Alligator mississippiensis: one gene and its partner. The protein of the gene in region 2 interacts with the protein of the main gene of each other region in a pairwise test. Links are inferred from orthologs where the notes say so. Each region holds a gene or a part of one and is shown on either strand. Other genes may lie near its edges.

Evidence for each region.
Region 1: the proteins of UBE2K (region 2) and RNF125 interact in a two-hybrid assay, tested with the Homo sapiens proteins (2 studies listed by BioGRID and IntAct). The link is inferred for Alligator mississippiensis from reciprocal best matches to the Homo sapiens genes UBE2K and RNF125.

What each region holds. Positions count from the first base shown.
Region 1 is NC_081826.1:81,058,937-81,066,581, forward strand, and holds the start of RNF125 (E3 ubiquitin-protein ligase RNF125), read right to left. Parts: upstream 3,070-7,645; 5' UTR 3,055-3,069; coding exon 2,900-3,054; intron 1-2,899. UniProt on the Homo sapiens protein: E3 ubiquitin-protein ligase that mediates ubiquitination and subsequent proteasomal degradation of target proteins, such as RIGI, MAVS/IPS1, IFIH1/MDA5, JAK1 and p53/TP53.
Region 2 is NC_081825.1:50,895,592-50,903,497, reverse strand, and holds the start of UBE2K (ubiquitin-conjugating enzyme E2 K), read right to left. Parts: upstream 3,022-7,906; 5' UTR 2,919-3,021; coding exon 2,856-2,918; intron 1-2,855. UniProt on the Homo sapiens protein: Accepts ubiquitin from the E1 complex and catalyzes its covalent attachment to other proteins. In vitro, in the presence or in the absence of BRCA1-BARD1 E3 ubiquitin-protein ligase complex, catalyzes the synthesis of 'Lys-48'-linked polyubiquitin chains.

The DNA of each region.
Region 1 (7,645 bases), on a different chromosome or scaffold from region 2:
GGTTCACCCCAGTTGTCTGAGAGCCTTCCTCTTCTAATGTCACAGGTTATGAGACCAGATTGCCCTCTGACCCTTTTGTTTGCCCTACCTGCTAAATCATCACCAAGGGAAAGGATGAAAGGCTTTATATCAAGGTATATTAGATAATATTCCTATACTGCTCTGTATCTTGTCCCCACCACTCCCTATAAAAAGTTTGGATAGGTTTTCAGCTATAACAAACACTGGTGTATATCTGAGGTTCTAACCTTAAAACAATTTGCCATTCAACATTATTTGTTCAACAGAAATGTAAGTAAGGAACTGGTTTACTTAAGAACAGCCAGTGTGGAGCTGAAAAAAAAGAAAGCTAAACTTCTCAGGATATTGTTCCTGAACTTTGTTGAAAGCCCCCTCCCCCATGCCCTCCCCAAAAAAGAAAAAGCAATATATGATCTGGACAATTGATTGAAATATCTGGTAATTTTTTTCAAGTCCTAGCTTTATATAACACATTATTTTTTAAGACCATGGGAATGGCATGGAAGGAATGAAACCAGAAAGGGATGATTTACTTGCATGCCTGTCCTGCAACAAGCGTGTCACAATTCACCAGTGCAATGTATTCCCTGTGCTTGCTGGAGTAAACAGTGCAAACAAAGCTGCTCAGATACAAGGACAGTAGAGCTTTGCATTTTGAGCTTCATTGAAGCCACACACCATTCACTTGGAGAAGGGAGCAGCAAAACTGGCTATATGCCTCCTTTTATGGTATACAGATTCTGGGGGTGGCTACTGATCTGACCAATCCTTAGGAAGCCGAGGAGAGCCAAAACAATCAAGCCTATAATGCCACCCTCTCCCCCCATACCTCTTTTTACCTAAATACTTGCTTTCACCATCTTGCAGGTTGATTTGTGCTGCCACACAGGGCTGTCTGCATAAAATACACAGTTGTAAAGAGACTCATGTGAGTACTCCCCACAGGTTTATTCTTTTTTCCTTAGGCTGCTATTAAGGTAACCCTGATCCATACCTGAGATAAAGTTTTAGGTCTCAAGTTAGGGGCAGCAATTGAGGCATGACTCAGATTAACATTGCAATGAAAGCAAACCCTAAAACTACTCACTGGCAATCTAAATGACTTGTGTCAATCAGATCTGGGAGATAATTATTGAAGTTAATGGCTTTAAAAGGATCAATCTGTGTAATTTATGTTAGATTTCCATCTAGTAGCATAACTGGGGGGAGAGGGGGGATACAAAAACAGCAGCTGCTGCAGCTGCCAGTTGGCTCCACCACCACAAGTAGCTGCACTACCTAGAGTCCAGGGCCTGTTATGCCTCTATTTCCACCTTCTGTCCTTCCAGACCTGTTCTGCCCCTTTCTCCTGCCCCCAGGAGGAGTGGAAAAAAGTTGTTGTTGTTGTTCTTCTGGTTTTATTTTTTTTCATGGTTTTGCTGCATTTTTTAGGAGGAGGAGGGTTTAAAAACATCATTCTATTTGTCTGTATTCTGGAATGACTATTTTAAAAACATTTTAGCCAGCTGTCTTTATTTAAGAGTGAAACTGGTAGTAACAGAATATATTTAAAAAAAATGCACTACATTAAATGTGTTCCTGCATAAAAATAGTATTATAGTCTTTACAAACTGTGAAGATGAAGTCATTATTTACATGCGGATTACTAAATAATGAGCCTATCAGAAAACAGTAAGGAGAAATGACACAAAACCACACACAATGTTATACAAAGCCAAATAAAATGTTACAATACAAATATCCACTTGTTACACAAAACCAAATAAAATGGTACAAGTATCCAATCTAGACAACCATATGAATAACGATATTCATCATCTCTCATCCATCTAAGTAGGCTTCCTGGTTGAACAGTCTATTTATTTAAACCGGAGCCTTCAGCTACATAAACCTTCTGGAGCAAGAGTGCCATAAGTATACTTGTTTACTTAATCCACTTTCCAAGCACAGTAGGCTAAGCCAAATGGAGGCACTCTTATTCATGAAGAATGGTGTCCAGACTCTGTGTCCATCTGAAATAGCTATGCCAGAATGACTCCAGAGGTAACAAATGAACCTTAATGAGGGCTATAGAAAGAGGATGGATTGGCGTAAAGGCCTTGTGCTTATCTCTATAATCCTTGCGTGCATTTTCCTTTATAGAGCAGGGGTTCCTAAACTGTGGTGCATGTGCCCCTGGGGTATGCAACACATCTCTGGGGGGTACACTGGAGAAATTGTGTAATGGCGGATTTGTCATGATAAGAATGATTGGCATTTAAAGGATTAAAACACAAAACCTATGCTGTTAGGGTTACATGGGCAGCTAGTAAATCTGGAAGGGGGTAGGCAATAAGAAAAAGTTTGGCAACCTCTGCAATACAGCTTTGGGGTTTTTTTTCCACCCCAGTTCATGTTGACAAACTCAAGCAGAGCCAAAATTTCCAGCCTTTGCTCAGCAGAGGGGAGGGACTGTCCATGTCCATACAGAGGACACTCCTCACTCCACTCCAGCCCTTTGCCCCCAAAGATCTGAAAACACTACGGAAACATGGGCAGGCAAGGGAGAGGGGGCACCTTGGGACCCCTGCCCTGCCAGCTGCTCTAGCTCCTTTGTTTTTAAGCCTCAAAGGTTACCTGGTTCTTTTAAGTGCCTGTCCCTGGCTGGGGTTAGCTGGCAGGAGGAGCCCCGGATCTTTGCTTTTCCTCCGTGGCACAGCGGGCAGGGCAGGGAGCCGTGCGATCCTCTGCCCCTGCAGAGCTGCCCTTCACGGGCGGAGAAACGCTGCTGTTCCCGGGGGAGCAGGCTGAAAGCCCTGCGACGCAGGCACCGTGCTTCAACCTCCCTGCCGCCCTCCCTGCCCCGCTCCGCGGCGCGGCGGGGCCCGGCCGCACTCACACGTGTCCGCACTGCGTCCGCACGGGCTGGTGCAGCACCTCCAGGCAGATGGAGCAGTCGAAGGACGACGGCGGCCGCGGCTCGGCAGCTCCGCCCGGGCCCCGCGGGGGCTGGGGGGCGCCGGCCGCCGCCTCGCTGCGCAGCGCGGAGCCCATGGCCGCCGCCTGCCCGCTCGCCCCTCCGCACCGCCCAGGTCACTCTGGGCTGGCCCGGCCCTGCAGCGTCCTCCGCCTGAAACCCGAGCCCTGCCGGCCGCCCCGCTCCCTGCCCCCAGCCCTGCAGGGCCCTGCTGCTCTCTGCGCTCCCCTGAGCTGGGGCAGGACCCGACCCTGCTGCTTATTGCCTGTGCTTCCCAAGGCCCTGCTCCTCCCTGCGCTTCCCCTGAGCTATTTAGGTGGGGATACTTGTACCAGGTGACACTCTGCACAGGAGAGCCGTGCCCAGCAGAGCACCCGAGCTAACAAGGACCCTCACTTCAGATGCCCAAGGCTCCCCTTCGCATTTCCTCTTTAGGTTAGATGTGCTTCTGAGCAGGCCTCTCTCAGTCACAGTGCTGATGCCCGGGGTGGCGTGACAGACCGAGGTAGCTGGGATAGCCTGAAGTCGAGGAGAAGGCGTCTGGTGAAGGAAGCTTCAACCCATGAAAACTTGTGCTTTATGTATATGTAGCATATATATATATGTCATAACCAAAGTGTGTGTGTGTGTGTGTGTGTGTGTGTGTGTGTGTGTGTGGCCTGTATAGATACATAGGGCACAAACTGATCTCCCCACAGCTGTGAGGGAGCAGCCCCTGAGCTGGGACAGCTCCCTCTGCCCCCCGGGGTACGGGAGCAGGTCCTGATCTCTGCCCAGTTGGAAGAGTTGCGTCCATGCCACATAGGGATCCAGACAGGTCCCGATCCCCACATGGCTGGAAAGACTGCTGCCCCTGCTGCCAGCACACCTCTTCCGGGCACATGGGGATCAGGACCCATCCAGATCCCCACTTGGCAGGGAGACGGCTTCCCCTGCAGTGGGCACAGCTTCCCCTACATCAGGGCTTCACCAGGCAGCCTGGGCTGACAGGGAGCAAATTGCGCCTGGTCAGACTCGGTGTGCTACTGCACAGTAGGTAATGCACTGTTAATTTAGTACCTCTATTTCCTGCTATTAGCTAATGGTGCATTAGCCTAATTTACTGCACAGTAAATCCCATGCACGTATAGGCAGTGACATTGTAATGTGCAGTAAAGCGTCTCGTATAGATGTGCCTGGTGTGCTTAAAATGGAAGCAACAAGCAACAGATTAGCTATGCCAGGGACCTTGATGCTGCTAATGTAGGAGGAACCGCAATTTCTTAAAATTTGTCCTTAGTGTCAAAAGGTTCATTGTTTCAGAAGCAGACAGCTATGCAGCAGATTAACTTCTGGAAGCACAGAAGAAATACAAATTACATCCCTCCCTTTCCTCCCACTTCTGCCTCATGCAGCCATTGGGGCAGCTGCACTGGAGTGCAGATGCATCTGAGAAGGCACTCATCTGAGAAGACACTTGTATTTAGATATTTAAAAAACCCTTTTCTATTAGTCATGCTAGTTCACAGACCCTTTAATACATGAAAGGGTCAAAACTTTTGGATAAGACTGATTTTTAAAATCCAGCAGGCTGGAATCCAAAATATCAAACAAATATTGGCATTAGCAGAGCTGTTTGCCTCACAGCAGATTATACTGTAAACAGAATACCTACATGTAATTACTTTTACAAGTTGGTTTGTTATAATAACCCAGAGAAACCTCTCATGGGTGACCTGTAAAGGATTTTGGAAAACTGGGTTTGCGAACCTTCTTATTTGTATCTTTTTGATATATAAGGGAGGACAGTAAAGTTCAGTTAGCTTTTATGTAAGGAAGCTGTTGTTGCTTATTTGTTTGTCTTTTGACTGTCATGTATCACAGGTCTGGTCTTTCCCTAATTTCAATGGAGGATTGCTTATGTGTGTGTCAGGGATATAATTCTCCTACCTTCACTAAATATGCCTGTAGTGTTGGATCTTTCACAAAGATATCTTTTTTTCCAAAGTACATAAAAAGTTCTTCCAAAAGTTAACAAAGAATACTGTTACAAGTGATCTGAATAAAGACCTTTCCACTCTCAACAGCTCAGGTTTCATTTTATTTTCAAAATCATTGCTTCACTACCTCTCCATAGAGTCTTCCTAGATAAACAAGACATGATTTTCTACTGTAAGAAATGCATTGTTTGTTTGTTTGTTTTTAAGAACAGCCTTTAGTTTTCTAAGTACGATAAAAATAAATAAAAATGGGAACTTAATTTTTTAAATTTTTTTAAAGTTCTCTTTAAAATGGGCTGGGCAAAAGAATCCTGGAATGAATCCTCATGTAAGAAGAGTAAAGAAAAATAATATTTCACCAGTTTATGCTTGCTTACACTTTCTTACTATTTTTTTTAAATCTGTAAATATTTTGCAGTCTGTTAGTCATCCTGGTATATCTGCTTTTTGCTAGTTTCCAAATCTCAATGAGTTTGGAGGAAGATTGTAGGTTATCAGATATAGTTACATTGTTGTTTCACTGATTAATGGTCTGTAAAATAAAATAACTTCTGTACTGGTGAAAGGTCAGTATATTTATGCAGCATTGTCTTAGGATACAGTTTAGTAATGATTTGCAACATTACTTTATAAATAAAAGATTTTTTTTAACTCCTTCTTTTGAAAGATAGTTTTTAAAACAGCCCTTTCGTTACGTGAAAAGAAGGTGGGGCAGAGTTTTGAAATTAGTTATTCAAAGGAAATCAGGAAACAGGTTATAAACAAGGGCAACAGAAATCTGTAAGAAATCGTAAAGAAATCTGAAGTTATCTTCCATTTCCTCCCTATGTCAGTGGAATTTCTGATTGTTTTCCTACCTGGTTCTAGCACAGTGTACCATTTGTTGTTCTTTTTTCATATTAAAAGGAGCCTAATTTGCTTAACATATTTTGAGTTTGTCAATATCATCATGAATTTGGATAAGTATTTTCTGTAGTTCAGTATCTTTGCATAAAAAAATGCAACCTGCTCTTTAATAAGAAACAAAAAGGGAAAAAGTATATTTGGCATAGTTTTATCCAACACTGATACAAAAGACTTTAGAAATGCATGTGGCAAATAAAAGTAATATTATTTATGAGAAGAACACAGAGAATGTCAGTGTCTTTGTTGCTGGATGCAGGATGTAATCCTTCATTCATTGTACTCAAAATATATAATGAAGTTAGAGGAAGTTTTAGGGGATGGACGAATGCAGGAATAAGAAAAAAAGTTTTATTGTTCCTGCCAATCCTCTCATGGAGTGCAGGTGTGCCTCACATGGAAATTACAACTCAGTGGATTTACAGGAGAGGGAGGCTCGGACACACAGTGTATTTCTGTCATTTTAAGAAGTAAACTTATGATGCACAAACCTGAGCTGGTGTAGCTCACTTCAGTTCGGTGTAGAATTACTCAGGGAAAAATAATGGGTAAAACTACATTGAGGTTAAATACTCCGGGGTACATGTTGTGTGTCTGCAGCCATTCCTAAAGTAGCTGTCTGCTCAAAATACACAGGTGGCAAGGCACTGTAATAGTCACCTTCTGTCTGAAGCTACACAGAGGCTGCATCTACACGAACCGCCGACTCCACAATTGTTACTTTGCAGTCATTTAGTACCAGTGTTACTGCACAGTCCTGTATCCGCGCAGTTATTTTTAGATGCTTCTGCGCAGTAGCTTGTTACTATTGCACAGTAGTGTTGCCATCAAGGTTCATGCCCAGCGACACTACGACACTACGGCGCTTTGGCAATGAGCCCGAACTTCAGTGATGCAACATGATAACAGTACCATTAGCCAATGGAGTGTTTATCTGTTCAATTATCTCCAAAGACAATGCAAGAAAAAGCAATCCGTGACTGACTAGAGCCTTCCTGGTAAATTAGACTATTCTTAAAGATTAACCACACTCTGACAATTTGAACATGAATAAAGTATGAAATCCATTAAATCTCACTTTATTAAAAATACATATTAACAAGGAATTAAGCATCTATCTGTAATGTGTGGAACAAAAAATTGCTTTATCACTGGAGAGATAAAATGGAAGTCTCATACAGCTAGTAGTAAAATGTATAGAGGTTTAAAAAAGTGTAGGTGATAACTTTCTAATATAAAAGATATTCCCCTTTCCTCCCCATGGAATAGCTCTATTTCAGATCTCATTATAATAGATAAAGAAGAACTTGATCGATAGATAGAAAGTTGGTGTTTTTCTTGGAAACAGTGATTATGACCTGTTCACATTCCTTAGGAGCAGAGAACAGTCCCAGACACAATATATTGCTGATATGTATTGTAAGCAGTAAGTAATTCCATTCCATTGCAGGATATGGAAGCACTTTCTGGGTTTTATGATGGGTAAGTGAAAGGAATGACATCTAGAATCCTGTGGAGGAAAGCGAGACATTACAAAAGCAGCTGTTTTCTTCAAGATGTAGGTTTCCCTTCAACCTTTCTTGCCAAGTATCCCCTTTCTGTCATCTCTGTCTCATAGTATAGAAGTTTGCTCCTTGTTGTCTGGCACCCTCTGCTATTGTGTTCACATCTGACAAGCATCAGATTAGCAAGCAGTGTTGCACTCTTCCTTGATTATGTAGGCCAAGCTCTATGGAAAGCCAGGCTCTGTATATCTGTGGGCCTGCAATGGACATTCCACTTGGGT
Region 2 (7,906 bases):
AGTTACTTAACCCCAGCGCTCTTTCCTGCCTGGAGCAGGGGGTCAGACCCGATGATCTGCCAGGTCCCTCCAACCCTAGAAATCTATGAAACCAATAAGGAAAGTAAATTCTGTCATGAATGCAATAAGCCAGCTCCTGTAACTATCCCTTGCACTGAGTAAGGAAGTTCCACTCCTCCAGAAGACTAGTCTTTTAATCTCCAGCCCCACTTTAATCTGTTTTCATTTTGCTGCCTTTATTTAATTTGGTTCTGGTAATATCTTGTAACTTTACAATACCATATATAACACTGAAAATGTTTTTTTAAAATTGTACGATGCTCAACACCTGCTGAACTAAATCCAGTTCTCAAGGACCACTATATCAAGCAACCACCATGATTTCTCCGTCCAATAAGCTATCATTGTATAGATGAATCCCTACCTTCTGTTCAGTTACCTGTGGCAGTGGTCCCACAGCCTACAGCAAAATAAAGTGTTAAGTGCTCTTCTACCTGTGTTGCCCCTCAGGCCCATTTAGGAGATGAGAACAGGGCCTGTACTCTTTGTTCCCCTACTTCCCTGTGTTTAAAGACAATTTAAAATGCTTTAATCCAAAAAATGTATATATTCTCTCCAGATTAGAAGCTTAATTAGTCTACCCTTGAAGACCAACATGATGAAAAACTAGTGAAATGACACCACAAGAGAATAGGCTGAAATCTGAGCAACTGATGCCTTGTCTAGACTAGGATTTAGAGTATTATATGAGTTAGCATGCTTGTGCATTTTAAAGAGTAGACAAAGTGCATTACTTTTAACACACATCAAGCGGGGGGGGGGTCAAAGACTTTATTTAACATCATATTGCATGTTAAAGGCAACATATGCCTTGCCTACACTAACATCTTAAAACTTGGTCGCTTTGTTAACAATCTACATTTTAGTTACTTGTATAGGAAGGGCTAGAAGAGAAAGTACATTTATTCCTACTGTTTAAAAAACATTTTGGGCACATCTATTTAGTTCCAATACTTAAGGGAAACTAGATTAAAAGAATGTCTTTGTTCAAAATTCAACATCCTACTCCTTCAGTTAGCTGTGAGCTCTTACACTTTAAATAAGGCAAGCAGCACAAAAATCATGGTTTGGGAAAATTATTTAAGGTCTTTTCACACAAATTAGGTTATTTTAAAGACAGACTCAAAGGACATTTCTAGACAAAGAAACAGAAGGTATTTAGGATTGTGTGCGTTTCCTAGTTATGCTTTTGTAATTTACAAATCTTCCTTTTGCTAAACTTAAAAGTGAAAACTGGGCCAACAACGTATTGTAAATTCTTCAGTTGAAGAAGAAACTGAAGGATATACCTATGTTCCGAGACCAGACTGGCAAATTTTGCATGTACAGTGTTTATTTCCACATCACAATGGGATGCCAAGCCAACGTTGTGGTATCTCTGGAAAAACAGACTAAGGTGGCCAGTTTTCAGGTTAACACGCTACTCGGAGCATAAAATCTAGTAAGTGTAAATAAATATCAGAATTTTTTAAAGAAAGACTATAGTTTTTAACAATTAATATTTCTTCACATGATTTTTTTTCCCCAACTACTCTTTCTTGATAGGTAACCTAGTCTGAAATTTAGGCTGTCAATCCCTAAAGCTGTTTAAAAGAAAGTTTTCCAGCCTCCTTTGACTGGTCAGAAGTCATCCCACCATTCACCAATTCACATTTTCATGTTCTAGAACACGAACTGTTTACCAAAAAAAAAAACACAAAAAAGAAGTCACACCAAGATATCCCTCAGTAATCAGAATGCAATGTCACTATTCTAAACATCCATAACAACCTACACAACTCGCTTATTCAAAATGCCAGCCTAATGCGTAACCTGTAAGCAGCGATTATGTATAGATTGGTAGACAACGACTCATATTTGGCTCAGTACCGACATGTGTCGTGCATCTTCCATGCTTAATTCAGAGGCAGAAATTCCGCAAGACTCACAGCCACGCCAATACACAGGATTCGGTCACATGAGATGAGCGTCTTGAAGACTTGCGTATTTTCAGTGCACTAGAGTGCCCAGTGCATATGCTAACAAGAATGAAGAAAAACTTGCTCACTAGACCCAAGCCTCTTTATAAGAAAAACTACACAGACCTGAATGTGCCTCTCATACCTGAACACGTTGTGGCCTACACTACAGTTTCCCTTTCTCTAATGCAAGGGAGAAAGTATTTAAAACTTTTCAACAGTGTTTTCTCATTAACACCATCAGGGCTGGTCCAAAGAAAGCAAAACCTTGAAGGGACTCTCCTTTCAGTATGTGGCAGGTAGCCACCCACCCAGACATGCTTCCTAGGTAGCCCCAAGCCAGCTCCCCCAGGGAAATCAAAGGGCGGGCTGCAGGGAGGCTGTACAACTGGGCCTTCGGATGCCTTCAAAAGGCTGCTGGGAGCTGCACAGCCTTAGCAGGCTCAATTCAAAGGCAGGTCAACCCCGGCGCCTCCCAGGCGGGGGACGGACGGCGTCCAGGACCAGGGTTGGGTTCCTCCGCGCTCCCTGGGCCGGGTCCGCCCGCCCGTGGGGACACCAGGGAGGCTCCTACCCAGGTCCCCAAAGTTTCCTAACGCGTCCCCAGCCGGGCAACGCAGGACACTGTCACCCCGGGAAGGGCCGAGCGGGGCCCTCAGGGGCTGAGGCCCGGGGGGCAAGGCAACCCGGGGCCTGGCCAGGCTGAGAGCGGTGGGGCCAGCGCGGCCCAGCCCCGAGGGCCCCAGAGACAGGGGGCCGGGCCGGGCCGACCCGGGGGCAGTGGCAGCCGCCCCCCGCGCAGGCGCACGCAAGGAGCCGGGGGGGGGGTGCTCTGACCTCCTCGCTCTTCAGCACCTCCTTGAACTCCCGCTTGATCCTCTGCACCGCGATGTTGGCCATGTCCGCAGCGGACACCGCCCCGCACCCGCTGCCGCCGAGCCAAGCCGAGCCGAGTCGGGCCCCGCGAGCTCCGCCGCCGCCGCCGCCGCCGGATAAGTCCCGGCCCCACCAAAATGGCGGCGGCGCCGAGCATGCGCGCTGTAGCGCCCGCCACTCAGGAGGGGCCGTGGGTGCGGGCCCGGCCCGCTCCAGCTCCGGCTCCAGCTCCGGCTCCTGCTCCCACTCCCCGAGCCCTGTGCGAGGCCACCGAGCTTCTGCCGTCTGTCCGCGAGGACCGCACCGCCGGGGCTGGGGCCAGGTTGTGATGGCACCGGTGTGATATCGCCCCCGGCCGCGCTGTTGCGTCCAGCTAGCGCCCCCGGCCCGGCCTCCCCTCCGCGCCCCGGGCGGCTGCGGCGGCGGGAAGGAAGAGGCGGCTGCGGCGGGTGATGAGGCGCGGGGTGAAGCCCCGGGGCCGGAGCGGTCTCCCCAGAGCCCCTGGGCGGGGGTGATTATGAAGGGCCTTCCCTTGAGGACCCTTTGCAGAAGAGCCCGGCTCTCTCGTGCCCCCCAGCCTGAGGGCGCGGGGGGACTTGGGGGCTGGCAGCTGTGGGGAGGCTGTGGCAGCAACTGTCCCTTCTGCTGCCTTGCACCCCAGGGAGGACTGCGCATGCTGGCCCGGCTCCTGTTCTCTTGTACAGTACTACAGAGCCACTGCACCAGGAGAGAGGGATGAGGGACTCTTAAGTCAGAGGGCCCCATGAATACGCTGGTCAAGGAGCATGAGGCAGCAGTGGTGACAGAAAGGCAGGCCGCTACGGTTCAGGAGCACGAGTAACATGGAAGGACACCTTCAGAAGTGGGTTCTGCCTGGTTGCTGAAAAGCAAAGCAACTCAAAGCAGTTTCACAGAAGAGCGGTGAGAGCTGGTTGTATAGGAAACCACAGTCAGGGATTGCCCTGGGCAGTAGTGACAGACCTTGAATCTGCACTTCCTTGACCTTAAGTGCTAGAGACTGCAAGTGGGACAGAAATGGTGTGAAGAAAAACCCTGGTCATACCCGGTTTGCTCGCCCTTTCAGCATCTGATCTCTGCTACTGTGTGATATAGGCCTCTTTGATGTGAACAGGACCTCAGGGTTACAGTGGACATTAAACTGAATATGAGCGAGCAGTGTGCCCTTGTTGCCAGGAAGGCTAACAGCAAACTGGGCTGTATTAGTAGCAGCATTGCCAGCAGATCAAGGGCAGTGATTATTCCCCTCTATTTGGCACCACTGAGGTGTACCACCTGGAGTACTGTGTTCAGTTTTGGGCCCCCTGCTACAAAAAGGATGTGGACAAATTGCAGAGTCCAGCAGAATGCAACAGAAATACTTGCCGGGCTGGGGTACATGGTTTCTGAGGAGAGGCTGAGAAAACTGGGTTTTATATAGTCTAGAAAAAAAGACAGGGGATTTCATAATGGCCTTCAATTACTTAAAGGGGGGTTGTTCCAAAGAGGATGGAGCTAGACTGCTCTCAGTGGTGGCAGATGACAGGACAAGGAGCAATGGTCTCAAGTTGCAGCAAGGGAAGTTCAGGTTAGATATTAGGAAAAAATTTCTCACTAGGTGTGTGGTAAAGCACTGGAACAGGTTAGCCAGAGAGGTTGTGGAATCTCCATCCTTAAAGGTTTTTAAGTCCTGAGTAGATAAAGCCTCAGCTAGGATGATATAGTTGGGGGGTGGTCCTGCTTCGAGCAGGGGGTTGGACTAGATGTGACCTTCTGAGGTCCCTTCCAACACCAATTTTCTATGATTTTATGTGCATTGGGAATGTGAGCCAGTGCCCACCAAGTAAAACTAAAAGCCCCACTTAGTATGGGGGGCCATTAAGTACACACCAAGTGATTACAGAGGACAAATAAAGAAGAAAACAGGAATGGGAATGAAAGTCAAAGGTTTAAAAAGAGTGCACCAAGGGAGGACACAAAGCAGAGCATACTGGATACTGCCCACTGGCCTCTGAATGAGTCCAAGGAGCCAGTAGACACTGCCCAGTGAAACCCTGCCCAGATTTGTGAACAGCTCATGGATAGGAAAATGGCCACAAAGTCCCCAGGGATCCTCCCAGCCAGAGCCCCTTTCCTGGTCAGGTAGATCGCTAGCTGTGTGACATAGGATACTGGGCAAGATGGACCTCTGGCAGGGGTGGGCAAAATATGGCCTATGGACTGGATCCAGCCTGCCAAGGGATTTTATCTGGCCTGAAGCAGGTCCCTTGGCCCTGTCCGGCCCAGACACAGGGTAGGGGGGTGCAGCCCAGGCCGTGGCATATACACCTGGTCCTGCTGCCCCTAGGCACACAGCAGGGCTGGGGTAGCGCAGCAGCCAGACTCTGCTTTCCTGTAACTTTGGCAGCGGCAGCTCTATACACCCCCATGGGCAGGGTGCGCTCGGTCAGGTGGATGGGATGGGATAGGATGGAATGGGATGGGGCCACTGGCAGGAAACAGCAATCGGGCAGGATGGGTAGGCAGGGCCGGGACCAAAATTGCAGGATGGTGACAGCACGGAGCCAGGGCCTGAGCAAAGATATACTCTCCGCACAATGGATCATGACCAGCCCAGCCCAAGAGTGGGGTGGAGTGCATACCCGTGACCTGGCCCCTGCTGCCCCTGCCCCATCACAGCACATGCAGACAGCCAAAGTATAATGTGGCTGTAAAGCAGCCCTGATAAATCATGACCAAATCAGGCTACCCCACATTGCTGGGCTGTGCCGCTCCACAGCCACACTGTACTGGGGCTAGCCATGCACAACTGTGCTGGGGTCGGGGCTGGGTCATGGGTGTGTGCTCTGTCCCCCTCCTGGGCAGGGCCAATCATGATCCATTGTGTGGGGAGTGGATCATGGCTTGGCCCTGTGCCCGGCCCTAGCCCTGCACTGTCACCAATTTTCCATCCTGGCCCCATCCCTATCCACCCATCCCACTCTGGATGCCGCTCCCTGCCTGCCCACAGTCCCATCTCATCCACCCGGGTGAGTGCACCCTGCCCACAGGGGTCCCAGGCCAGTCTAGTAACCTACCACTTAGGGAGTTCTGGTGAGCTGTTGCAGGTTGGGGGAGTGAGGGTGCCAACCTGGCACAGCAGTGGGGGTTGCTGAATGGGTCCACAACAGCTCACCAAAACTCCCTAAGTGGCCCTCCAACCCAAATAATTTCTCTCCTTTGACCTATGGTCTGATCCAGTAAAAGGTAATTCTTATGTAATGCTGTGAATGTTGTATCTGGCCAGTTTGGGAAGCCATCCGTGTAGTCTCAATAAATGCTATAGGGAATGGATTCTTTAGAACTGATTCCAGTGGCTTGTAGTTGAACTCAGCTGTAGCATGGCTGCAATGTATGCATACTGTTGTTTGTTTGTTTCCAGCCCTTCATACAATGTGCTTAGTGCTGCACAAAACAACAATGATACAGGCTCTGTTAACAAAACTGCTGACAACAAAATAAAGCTGTACTTTTTATTTTGGTGAGCACTCTTCCTCCACAACATAACTAATGTGTGGTCTCTTTCCCTGGGATAACATTGTCCCATGCATGTTCTTAGCTGTATCCATTTGTACAATTAATTTTTTAGTATCAAATTTGCTTTTGACACAATATATAACACTTACAAAGGGAGGCCTAATCTTGTGGTTAAAAGACCCTATCAGTCACAAGATCTAGATTTGCTTCCTTTTTCTCAGGCTTTGTGTGATCTTGGGCAAAAAAATGAGGCCTACATCTTCAGAGATATTCCAGCATCCAGCTACTATTGCTGTAATTATCAAGCAGAGTGTTGTAAGATCTTTTTAAGGATGAGGTGCTGCACAATACTGGTATTAGTACTGTAAGGTGTACAAACACCTACACAATGCACAAAATAAACTGAGAGATTTCAAATAGGACTCCATAGTGTCAAAAACATTCAGAACTGTTGTGTTCTTTCTGAGTTTTTTTCAGCAAAAGAATTATTCCATTATTTTTTCATAGTCAAAAAGGATTGAATGTTCAAAGCAGTGCCTTGAGTCTAAAAATGTTGAAAACCACTATCCTGTTGACTTAACTGGAAGTTACATGCTTAAACAACTACAGGTCTCTGGGCCCTAGCATCTCTGTACGTCAGTTCCACAGGGGTATAATGGGGAAGATAATGGTTTTCCACCAGATAGAAGTTTTGTAAAGATAAAGTTTGTAAGGTGCTGAGGTACAGACAGTCCTTGACTTACAACGTTTTGAGTTACAACGTTTCGCACTTACAACATTTATAAATTGACACCCTGTTTCAACTTTCTGACATCAGTTTCGACTTTACAACGCTTGATCTGATGTGACACCATGGCAGCGAACAAGTCGCTGTGTCGCCCATCTCCCTGGAGAACATCTGTCCAAACTTCCTTGGACACTTCCTTTAAGAAATCAGACAAGACTCTAGAAAAACCTGCAGCCTAGACTCCTGAGAAGACTCCAGCCAAAAACCCTTCAAAAAGTCCAACCGAGAGCCTTTCAAAAAGTCCAGCAAAGTCACCTCAAAGAAGTCTTTCCAAATCAATATGATTGCTATTTACAATATAAATACATTAATGTAGCTATATTACTCATCTATAATTGATCGAGTACAAAATTCTGAGGTATTTTTAGTGAAAATAGGGTATCGGGCCTTGATTCAGGAACTGATCCCCCATTTATAACATTGTTTCTTATGAGAAAATTGGTTCTGAGTTACAACGTTTTGACTTAAGACACGGTTTTCAGGAATCAATTGTGTCCTAAGTCTGACGACTGCCTGTATTCTAAAGGAGAGCTATTGTCAAGCCTATAAACAAACTAAATTAGTATTCAATTTTAACAGAAAAAGGTATTTTTCTGTTAACCCACAATGGTGAGAAGCTGTACTTCTAATCTACAGACTTTGTTCAGTAGCAAGCAAAAACATTACAGTAATTCTATGAAGTTCCTGAATTTCTTCTGTGTTCCCATGAGTT